Linked DNA regions of Drosophila melanogaster. The protein of the gene in region 2 interacts with the protein of the main gene of each other region in a pairwise test. Each region holds a gene or a part of one and is shown on either strand. Other genes may lie near its edges. The genes, in order: CG13299 and CG8306.

The links.
Region 1: the proteins of CG8306 (region 2) and CG13299 interact in a two-hybrid assay, tested with the Drosophila melanogaster proteins (one large-scale study listed by BioGRID).

What each region holds. Positions count from the first base shown.
Region 1 is NT_037436.4:6,231,155-6,234,470, reverse strand, and holds CG13299 (uncharacterized protein), read left to right. Parts: upstream 1-2,109; 5' UTR 2,110-2,146; coding exon 2,147-2,207; intron 2,208-2,270; coding exon 2,271-2,548; 3' UTR 2,549-2,666; downstream 2,667-3,316. Other genes in the region: CG42714 (uncharacterized protein), read left to right, coding at 433-466, 527-694, 750-853; BG642312, read left to right, coding at 1,550-1,634, 1,699-1,847.
Region 2 is NT_033778.4:16,588,973-16,596,845, forward strand, and holds CG8306 (uncharacterized protein), read right to left. Parts: upstream 5,675-7,873; 5' UTR 5,119-5,674; coding exon 5,111-5,118; intron 2,439-5,110; coding exon 1,854-2,438; intron 1,791-1,853; coding exon 1,681-1,790; intron 1,617-1,680; coding exon 1,166-1,616; intron 1,103-1,165; coding exon 845-1,102; intron 789-844; coding exon 650-788; 3' UTR 546-649; downstream 1-545. Other genes in the region: Dolk (dolichol kinase), read right to left, coding at 1-76; CG8303 (uncharacterized protein), read right to left, coding at 6,448-6,580, 6,651-6,908, 6,969-7,410, 7,464-7,873. UniProt on the Drosophila melanogaster protein: Catalyzes the reduction of C16 or C18 fatty acyl-CoA to fatty alcohols.

The DNA.
Region 1 (3,316 bases), on a different chromosome or scaffold from region 2:
TAAAATTAAGTTGGAAAACATTTTTCTAGTACCACAATGAGGCACGAAAGTATGCAGTGAATTTTTCTTAGCTGTTAGTTGGGACAAAAACCAATCTAATTTGGCCATAAGCAAAATAGTTGTTAAATAAATGAACATATAGATAAAGAATTATCTTAAACTTTTTCACTTTAGCAGGATGGCAAAACAAAAGTTTGAGGTGTGGGATCAATCTATATCACAAATTATTGTGACATGTATCGGTACCTTAATTCAATTTACGGTGCTTGTGTTTTATCTTATCTTTTAATATGGCAAAATTCGTTCATCGTTGTTTAAATTTGTGATAAGATAGGATAGTAAGCCTAACCGTTTATTTTTATTCACGCCGATCTTAATTAGTTGCCGCATTGCTATTTTTCATTTCATAGCGAAAGGTATTAGTTTTCCAGAATGAACGCAGTTGGCATTTTCATAATATGTCTGGGTGAGATTTTTTAAGTTATAGTAAGTAGTGACTTTGTAAAGATGTCCTTTCTAAAAACAGCATGTTCCCTTGGAGCGAATATTCCTCCAAAACCGTGCCAAGTGGAAACAAATTGTGGTACGGTGAATGAGACAAGTTCCATTTGCGGATTGGATGAGGAAATGGGTTGTATACGAAAATTTCCATCCAAGTGTCATTTGGATATAGCATTTTGCCATGAAGGAAAAAGTAAGTCCGATTATTAAACTTTAATCTCGCATATTATTAAATTATTTCATTTCAGATTTCACCGACTTTAATGAGGAATATTGCTCAATGGAATCGTATCTCTGTGAGATTTCACCCACATACGAACGCTGGACCATTTTCTTCGGGCATGAGAATTAATTCTAATTGAAAGTGCGAAAATTTGCTGCATTACGCTTATATAACAGAATTTATCTGTTTTCAAATTAAATTTTTTTCTCATTTCTAGAGTATTTTTACATAATATGAAATTAGTCCCGCATGATTGAAATGTTTTGGTTTAATTTCAACAACCAGAAAAGGGGAAAGAAAACAGCGTATAAATAAGAGAATTTGTGGGTATAAATATCAGTATACATTCTTCAAGACAGAGGAAGCCCTCTCTACGAACTCAGGACGCTCTTCTTTGGCCACCAGAAAGAGTGAGTGAAGACTTGGCTAATCGCCGACGACATACGTGTAAGTTCATTAGGTAGCATTTCAATAAACAATCAATCAACGCGCAACGGGCCATTCACGTGCCAGGCGACGTTGACTACGTCAAAGACCGGTAGGAGGTAACCGATGCCCAGCAGCGTTTTTTCCCACTCAGTGAGACAGAACGACGCCTCGAGCCTTTTATACGAATCTTAATTCGGATTTTTTGTGATCTTTTTTTATATTTGAGTTTTTTTTCTTTGCGTTATTTTTGGGTCTTCGACGGGTGCTTTGCATAATCTCTCGCCGCGGCGCCAATGCCCATTGGCCTCCTCCTTCAACGCCAATCAGTGAAGAGCTCCAGACTGGCACACTTGCACATATAAAAAGTGGACCCAACCGAATTTTGCTTGTCAGTTAATGCCCATCAATCGAATCAATCCCAGCACAGCCATGAGAAGCGCGTCGCTTAAGTTCTATCTGATATGTCTGCTAGTTATCTGCGGTTAGTGTTATTAACTAAAAATGTTATGCATCAAATGCAATTACCTGTGTCCGAATTTTTGCAGTGATCGGTTGGAGTGCTGGAGCACCGAGTCCGCAACTTTCACGTAAGGAACTCGAGGATCGATATCGACAAAAGCCCCCGGTGCCTGATGAGCGAGATGCGGATGCAGAATTGGATAGTGCCTACGATCGGAATACCCGAAGACCTTGAAGTGCAAATCTGAAAGGCTGGAGACACCCAACGCCCACAATTGATTTGTGGTTCTGTGTGGAGTGCCACTTTTTATGTCGTATTCAGGGTTATGGCTATGTAGTTCTAAGCTTAGGCAAAATGTACAAGCGTAAAATAAAGCAATTACTTGGGTGAAACGTGCGCATCGTTACTTTCCATTCTATCACGTAGAATGTGGGGCGACATCCGACGTCGGCTGGCGTCTATAAAATATGAACTCTCTGGCATTCGATTCAGTCAGTTATCAATCTCCGGCTAGTGCGAAAAGTACAATCAAAATGACCTCAGAAAGCAAGATGGTTTTGCTCTTCCTTATCGGATGTCTCGTCATGCAGACAAGTGAGTCACTGGATCATCTGGTATCATGACATTATTTTAAACCTAACTGCATTTTCTTTCAAGTCAACGCCCTGCCATTCGATAGATTCAGCCAGGAGGATGACGAACGGAACAACGAGATCAGCGGCGAATGGTTCAAGAAACCCATCCTCAGGTTCGATCGTCTTTTTGCCACCGAAGAATCACCGTCGGGAAGTCGGAAAGAAGTGAGAAGGCCCAGCAGAAGCGACAAGGGTGAAACCACGGAGAGCTCCAAGCACGCCCACTCCATGATCACCTCCATGCTCGGATTCGTGAGCAGTGTCATCAACTTTGGCAGGACCTTCATAAGGGATCAATAGAAAATATCCTAGTCCATCTGGCACATTTCGAGATTGCATTTTCCACATGTTGTAGGTTTAAATATTGTTGTTTAAATATTGCTTAAATATTGTTGTTCCAAAATAAAAGATTTGGCTTAAAACTATCAAGTATTGGATGTTAAAGAAAGCTTCTCTAAATCCTTTCCAATTTTCAACCAAAATTAAATTCAGCCTAGGTGTTACAATTAGAGGTTTAAAACAGAGTATTTTGAAGACCCATGGTTTAAATACTCACCCGCATATAAATTTCTCTTTAATCCATTCCGTTTTATAAAATTCATCTGTGTAAAGAAGCTAATTTTAATTCTTATTCATAAAATCAGAGCAAATTTACCAAGTAGCACTCAATAAGCTATAACACCGGCGGATTTTTCGGTTGCCCTTTAGGCTAACCATATAAAAACCCGACGGAGATTTTGGTGGATCCCACTATAAATTCTCTTTAATTCGCAGAAACAACCCAGAATTGCCTTTTTTAAAACTTAATCCTTTCCTTCTTTGCTTAATATTAAATTTACTCTTAACATAAATTACTTTTCCCAGCTGAAACTTTTGTTTTTCTTTAAATTTTTCCATGAAGCTTCTTATTTAATAAGATAAACACAAAATTACCATATTTTGTTGATAATTTAACTTAATAGTGGTGCACAATTAATCTTTTGATTACACTTAATATATTTATTTTACAGCCTTACACAGCTGGAAGATTTTCACAATTTTCGAATTTAAAGTATAATTCATTTAAAA
Region 2 (7,873 bases):
CACTCGACTGACTGTCCGTGGAGGAGCCGACGGAGTCCGTTTCCGAGTGCTCACTGTCCGTTTCTGGGCTCCGCATCCTCGGTTGGTTCTCAGTACATGATTTCTTTGAGCTCGGCAAGCGTTTGTGTGTCCGCAAATGGGTCAAGTGCGGAGAAAAGCCCTCGCTTTTCCTGCACACTTCGGCCAATTGATGAAGTTTTGCATGCACTGGACCAGCTGGTCGTTTGCTGTTGTTGTTTTTGTTGGGAAACTGTTGATTGGGGTTTGGGATGCACTTGGGTATTCGATGGCGTCCACTGGTGAGGTCACACTAAATTCGATGTGACCAGGTCTTATGCACCTCGGTGGGAAGTTTAAAAACTTAAAAGCTTGAAAATTTTACACTTTTTAAACCGCTCAAAAAGCCTGATATTACCTCTGAATCTTTATAATGTGGCTTAAAGTAAAAGTAGATCTAATTTTATACCAGATTTTAACTATCAATAGAATCCTCTTTAGGGCTTTCCTTTAATAAACTTTTCCTTTTAAATCAAAAAAGAGCGGCGCTTGTTTTTGTATTTATATTGTAAAACCAAACCTCATACAAAGTGCATTAAGCATAAATAACATTGAGAAAATGTTGAACTATGTGGGAATATTCATCGACTTCTTAAAGCAGTCCAAAAAGGTAGTAAAGGACGGGCAGGACAAGAGCTGCTTTAGCCGTCGAGATTCCGGTGAGGCACACGATCAACTTGAAGACTCCATACCAAAACGAGAGCTGCAGCGCCACATGAAGACCCAGGAGACTAGAAAAGTTAAGGGTTAGTATGGTAACTTACATAGTATTATTGAAGATATTTACATTTTGTCCTTGCGACGCGCCTTCTCCAGATTCTTGATGGGCTCCTTGCTGAGATACTGACGCACGCCGAGGATCGTATTGGAAAAGTACTCATCCCACGCCAGCTCCCCGATGTCGATGAAGAACTTCTTCTTGTCCACTATGTTCAAGGTCTTCGATAGCGCCAATAGACGCTTGCTGTCAAAGTGCCACTCGGTGAAGATGAACTTTTCCAGGGTATTCAGTGAGTTCCAAACGTTCTTGTGCAGACGAACCAAGCTAAAAGTTAAATGAAATCATGTAGGCTACTAGGAAATAGGTGTACCAATATTATATGCTTACATAGGCCTGCCGCCTCCAATTTTCGTGACCAGATCCAGGATAATAGCGGGTATGAAATGAAACAGAATGGCGCTCAGTCGGAAGACCCAGAGGCTCTTCACCAGACGCAGGTTGGGATACCAGACGGCACTGTTCAGAGGATAGTCGTGCAGATAGCTGTTGATCTTGTCCGTCATCAGCTCAAAGCGGAAGGGTTTGTATGTGCTGGAGGTCAGGTGGAAGATCTGCAGATCGGCCGGGCGTCCTCCGTTCTTCGCCTGCAGCGAGTTGACATAATAGCCAGTGGTTATGATGCCATTGACCACCACATCGATGGGTATGTAGTCCATAATGATGCTGGGATCCAGGGGAAGGCGACGCAGTACGCCCTTCGATGCGCCCATGAAGAAGCCCTGCGGACCGTTCTTCGAAATGGTCCATCCGGGAATGGGTTCCTTCCAAGCGGCGGTGACTTTAGCACATTACAAAGAATCATTAGTTTCTGGAAGAAAATTAATATTCTACCTAATACTCACTCATACTCGGACGAACAATGCCGCAGGGGAACTTGCTGGCCACATTGGCCACCTCGTGCTCCGCCAGATGCTTTGTAAAGGTATAGGTATTGGGGTGATCCTTCAGAAGTCTGGGAGATGATAATTCATTATTTCTAAGCATAAACCCTTTAGTTTAGTTAAGAGCCACTCACTTTGGTTCCAGTTCCTTGAGGGCATCATCGTTGAGCGTCTCCGAGAGCTGGATGATCTTCTCTGGATCTTCGGGCGCGGGATATAGCTTCTCCTCGACCTTGGTCAGATAGGCATTCACATAGGCGCTGGACACATGGACCAAAGCATCCAGGTTCTTGATCTGCTGGCACAGCTCCACAACTCGCCGAGTGCCCCTCAAGTTGATGTTGGTGGTCTCCTTCAGAGATTGAAAGAAGTCCAAAGTGGCAGCCGAGTGAAAGACAACATTCACGTTGTCGATCAGGGTCTGGCGATCCTTCGGCGAGATGCCCAGATGCTCCAAGCCGACATCGCCTTCGATGGGCACGATCTTGGAGAGACGCGACTGCAGCTGCAGTTCCTTGAACTTGTCGAAAACGGAGTTCTTCTTCAGCTCCTCCAGTCGCTCCTGCACACTCTTGCCCTTCTTGGCGCGCATCAGCAGGTACAGTGTGCCCACGTTGGGAACATCGCGCAATAGTTTCTCCACAATGGTGACGCCCACGAAGCCAGTGGCGCCCGTGATGAAGACATTGCGACCCGCATAGAAGTCTGTGATGGGTGAGCTGAAATATGAAGGGTTTACCAATCAGTTCAGTGCCGTCTATTCTGTTTATATAACGAATACGACCAAATTTACAGACGTCATAAAAAAGATGAACCAAACTTTCTCTCGTCGCCCATTCAAATGGTCCAATGGAGACGCCATTGTGCTTACGACACTCGTTCACCCGTAAAAACCTTCAGGGTAGCGCATCTTGGCTGTTTGTCCCGCTAAAAACCCGTTTTTATCGTGGGCTCCCAGTTCTGAGTGCCCATTGTATTTCTTCTAATATTGATACAACTAATGATTACTTAGCAGGTGTCGACTGGCGGGCGGTTCAATGCCGGAATGCAAAGCAATCTCGTGGGTGTCTCTGGTTTCTTTGTACTTTGATTGGAATCAAGTCGTGCGCTTAAACGCATAAATCAAATGGTTTGATCTCTAAAGATTTTCTTTAGTTTCTATCAATAAATAGGATTTTAGCCCACTCTTTTGGATTCATTATTCATCCAAGTCAATTCTTAAAGATATCATGCTTTTAACAGTAAATGTACTTTGTTTTTTGCTGCAAATCAGTTAAGATAAGCTCTTTAGCTTTGGGGAATTCCCATTTCCACTTTGCAATCGCCTAATTTTCGAACAATTTCGATCAAATTACAAAACGTATTGGGGCTCCAGCAAACACGCAACATGTTCATTCAATTAGCCATGTCTGGCGCATTTCTCTTTTAATGACCTCCACTCGCTGTCTCCGCTATATTTTTTCTTTATGCCAAATGATTTTATAATGACGAACATTGAAGATGAATTCTTTGGTTTTTACTCCCCTCTAACGATGCGTGATATAATTTCTGCATAACAAATGTGTTGCATTTACATTTCCCATATTTGAATATGCAAACAAAAACAAAAAAAAACAAAAAATCAGACGAAATGCAAATTTTCTTTTGAGCAATTAAAGGAAACCCTCGAGATTGCAGAGCCGTCACAAGTAAATAAAGTGCAGTTGAAGCCTTTGCAGGTGCTCATATTTGCACACACGAAATGGCAAGTCATCGTTTTAGCCAGGCTCACAGTTCAAACGCTCGCTTGTTAGCCAAGTTAAGCTTTCACTTTGTGGACCAGCGAATTTGGGGTGAAAAGGGACAGGTGACCCAATCAACACAAATGGCTAATAACTCATCAAGCGTTTTTCCTGAAGTTTCTTATTCACTCCCTTTCTTGGCCAACTCTTTGAAATTAACTTTCTTATCAGCTTTAAATCAACTTCTGAGATTAGATTTTTCTGTTGGCCAGTTCGGTGCTTATCTGGCTTAATTAAGTGAGCCGATTTATGGTGGCAGTGCTACTTGAAATTTGTTTCAAATTATGGTTTTGCTTTGCCTTGGAACTGATACTACTGTATGAATTGTGCACAGTATTTAATGGAACTTGGCTACAAGTGAGGAAATAAGCAATAAAGTGGTGTTATTTGAAAAATCAAGCTTAGTGCCTTAATAATGCCTTGCATAATGCGATATCATTTGCCACAGTTTACCGCATTCCGTTGAGACTGGCGTTAAGAACCCCCATATCATTAGCATTGCACATAAACTTAAATGCTTGCCCACCCCGGCAATTAAGCCACTCGACTTTGAGTAAGTAAGTAACTGACCCTACCAACTGCAATCAACCTTGTGAGCGGCCATAAATCTCTGGCATATTATTATTAATATTCGTCCCGAAAATGTTTCGAACAACCTGTCGTCAGGATGCGATGGCCATAATATGTAATGATCTTGTTGTCCCGCGGTTCCTTTTGATTTCAATAATCTGTAATTTTCCGGTTGATTTCCGGCATGCCCACCACTGCATCATTGACGTCATTTGGCTGAAAAGGCGGCTTTTGACTTGCAAAAGAGTGTATTCGAACAGGTCAAAGATTTAGCTTGAAAACTGGAATGTCTAGCCCTGTTTGCATCTCCCTCTCCAATTGGCTAGCACTGCATAGCCACCTTTAGCGGGTTAATGAAAAATTTCCATTGTTCTCCCATTGCAGGTGACTCTCAGGTGATGGATTCTCGCTGGCGAAAGTGTCCGACCAAATGACCCACTGTCAGCTCGTAATGAAGTAGAATTAGCCGCCGACGCAAGTGTTAATTATAGTACAGTGTGACCCCAATAGCACGAACTATTATGTTATGCATTAAACTTTTGAATTGAGTTCCAAAAGCAAAGGCTATGTAAGATTATAGATCACTAATTCCACTTAAAGTGAATGCGCTTTTATTGGTCATCTAGTTTTAGAGTAGTTTAAAGTTCAAGTTTTGGAAAGTTGGAATAGATATGTTGATCCACTGGACTTCTGGCTTATATGAATGATAAAGTCTACATATGTGAAAATAGTTAACAACACACACATATACCTAATTTATGGTAAGTAAGTGTTTTGAATCAAGATTCCCCATCACATGGAAAGTCTAGATGATTCGGGTATCTTTAGCTCGATGGCTTGTGTTCTCTACGCCAGATTTTTGTCGCATTTCGAACTTTGCTCCGTCTTTCTAACCTCACAAAAGGCGCTCGAAAGCGGGGAAAAGAAATAAAAAAAAAATAAAAAAAGCAGGTTGAAAGTTGTCAAACATGCTACCAAAATTAAATACAACCAAAATTGAGCAGAAGCCGTTGCTTAGAGCCAAATGTAGTGGGACTTACCTGGCCATGGTTTCTCAGCAGGTGTGGTTAACGTCAATAATAATAATGCCAATTGCAGTCTATCCGCTCGTTCTGATTATTTGTTTAAGACTAAAACTCGGCTTAGAACGTCGAAATTTCTCTTTTCCACGTAGCTCTCTTTCTTTTTATCGGCCTCCTCCTCTTCTTATTTATTCCGTCTTTCTATCTTTTACTCCACTGCTTTTGTTGTTGTTGCGATGCGACTGTAAACAAATTACCAACACCAGTGCAACTGCACGTGTGTGTGCCACAACGAACGTGCGTGTGTGTGTGTGTGTGTGTCGGCGTGTGCGAGTGCGAGCGAGGCAGCTGAATGGGCGAGTTTATCTTTATCTGCGTTTCTCCGATCCTCCGATTTTCGAACGTTAGCCGGCAACAGTAAAACTTCAACTGAATCTTTATGCCGTCAATGGCCAACGAAATGTGCTCGGCAGCAAGCGAACTGTTCGTGTATGATCATTAACTACGCTCCGCGGATCGTCATAATAACGATCACGATCGTCGGCCAAACCAGTTAGTCAGTGGCGTCTCAAAGGGGAGTGCCTATTTGGTTTGGTCCCCCACATATGTTTACTTTCTGATCTCATCACATACAATATGGTTAGCTCACTGAGTTTGCGGATACATTTTTCGCTATCTTGCAGATACTTTTTTTGTTATTTTAGCTGCATATGTATGTTTTCTCTTCTCGAGCATAAGAGAATTCTCTTCAGCTAGCGCCCCTGTCGGAATATTACCGAACTTACTTAGTGTACACCGTGTAGAAAGAGTGTAGCTAGGTGTCGCCACTGTGCATTGTCGAAAACGAAATGCATCGATTTTTAAGATGGACTTAAAAAATTATAAAACAATATTATTATAAGTTATACCAACCTCCATATAATAAAATATTACACACACCTAATAAAAACACACACATCCTTTCCTTAATATAAAAATCATATTTATTTGAATAATAGTTACATATTTAATCATTTAAAGTTTAGTTCTCGTATTCATCGACTATTTGACTATAAACCGGTTGATAATTACAAACAATCTAAAATTGTTTATTACTTTTACATTACGTGTTTAGTTAAAGTGACTAAGTTTTGGGCTACTTTTGCATTGCTGTGTGAATAGATTCGATATTAGTGCTGATTCATATGATACATTTCGCTGACTTGTACTTGGCTTGTGTGAAAGAACTTAAAAGTAAAATACATGATACCCTACTAGAACAAACTACGGATGGAAACGAACAACCATGTGTGGTAGCATCGCACTTGGAGCGGAAATATTGCACAATCCAACTGTTGGCGATTCGGATGCAGCCACTACAACCAGACGAGAAATCCCCAGATCAGAACCGCCAACGTAAGTCCGATCTGCAGGCCCAAAGTTAAAGTAAGGGCAAAGTAGAGAACGGCGAAGATGACCACATAGCCCGCGTAGTACAGGACGTTAAAGCTATAGACAGGACAGAAATGAAATGAAAATTGAAATTATGCTTTAGATCGGTGGAATGGATCACACTTACACCTTCCAGTAGTTGCGATGCCAATCCGTGGTCACTGCCGACTCCTTGAAGTAGAAACGCCGGATTCCTATCAGACACCGATCGATGAACTCCGACCAATCGCACTGACTGGCATCGAAATTATAGCGCCTTCGATCGCTCTCCGGTATTAATGCCGATATACGCAGCGCATTCTTCAAGGAATACCGGAAGTCCTTGTCCAGGAAGTAATCAAAGGCCTTGGTACCTTTCTGGAACACCCGCATGTACTCGTAGGCTCTAAAGTAGATAAATATTATGGTTAAAAGTTAAGTAGATCCAGCTTTTTGCAGTACTTACGTGTGCTGGGGCATTCCGATTCCGAATAGCTTCTCTGGTATGATAAAGACCATAGCTGGCAGCAAATGAAACAGATAGAAGAACAGATTGTAACGCCATCCGTTGCGCAATTTCGTCACCGGTTTCCAAACAAAACTGTTCGGCGGATGCCGCTCCACACTATCGTTGATGATCGTGCAGAACTCGGCGAGATTCAGAGGATTAACCTCTCCCGACGTGCAATGTATGATCTCCGGCTGCTCCAACTTCCGGGTGCCCACGTACCAGCCCATAACCAGTGATGAGTTGATCACATAGTCGCATGGTATGATGTCGATCACAGCATTTGCATTCCCGCACATGGTGCGAAAAATTCCCTTCACGAAGCCGGCCAAGAAGCCCAGGTGACCAGAGTTTGCATTGCCCACCCAGCCCTTCATCGGGTGCTCCAGGGTTCCATAAACTAAAAATGAAATGTTATTGATTAAGACATTTTACTGCCGAATGGAATCTCACCAATCGATGGCCTAACTATGGCTGCTGGCAGTCCCGACATCTCGGCCATCAGCAAATTCTCCGACAGATTCTTGGTGAACGTATACGTATTGGGATGATCACGGATATAGCCCTTGCACTTTTGATCGGTGAAATCCTCCCAGGCGGAGTCATCTTCGGCCATCTTCATCATCTCGTACGGATCGAACTGTGACTTGTACACCTCCTCGGCAATCAGACCACGATTGTTGCTATTGCAGAAGGCCGTGGAGCAATAGATGTACGCCGCCAGTTGCTTCAATTGTTTGGCCAGCTCAATGGTGCGCATCGTTCCCGTGAGATTGGTGCGAATGGCGGTGCGCAGCGGGGAGCTGAACTTGATGGTGGCTGCACTGTGGTAGATCACATTGACCCGATCGATCAGCTCCTGC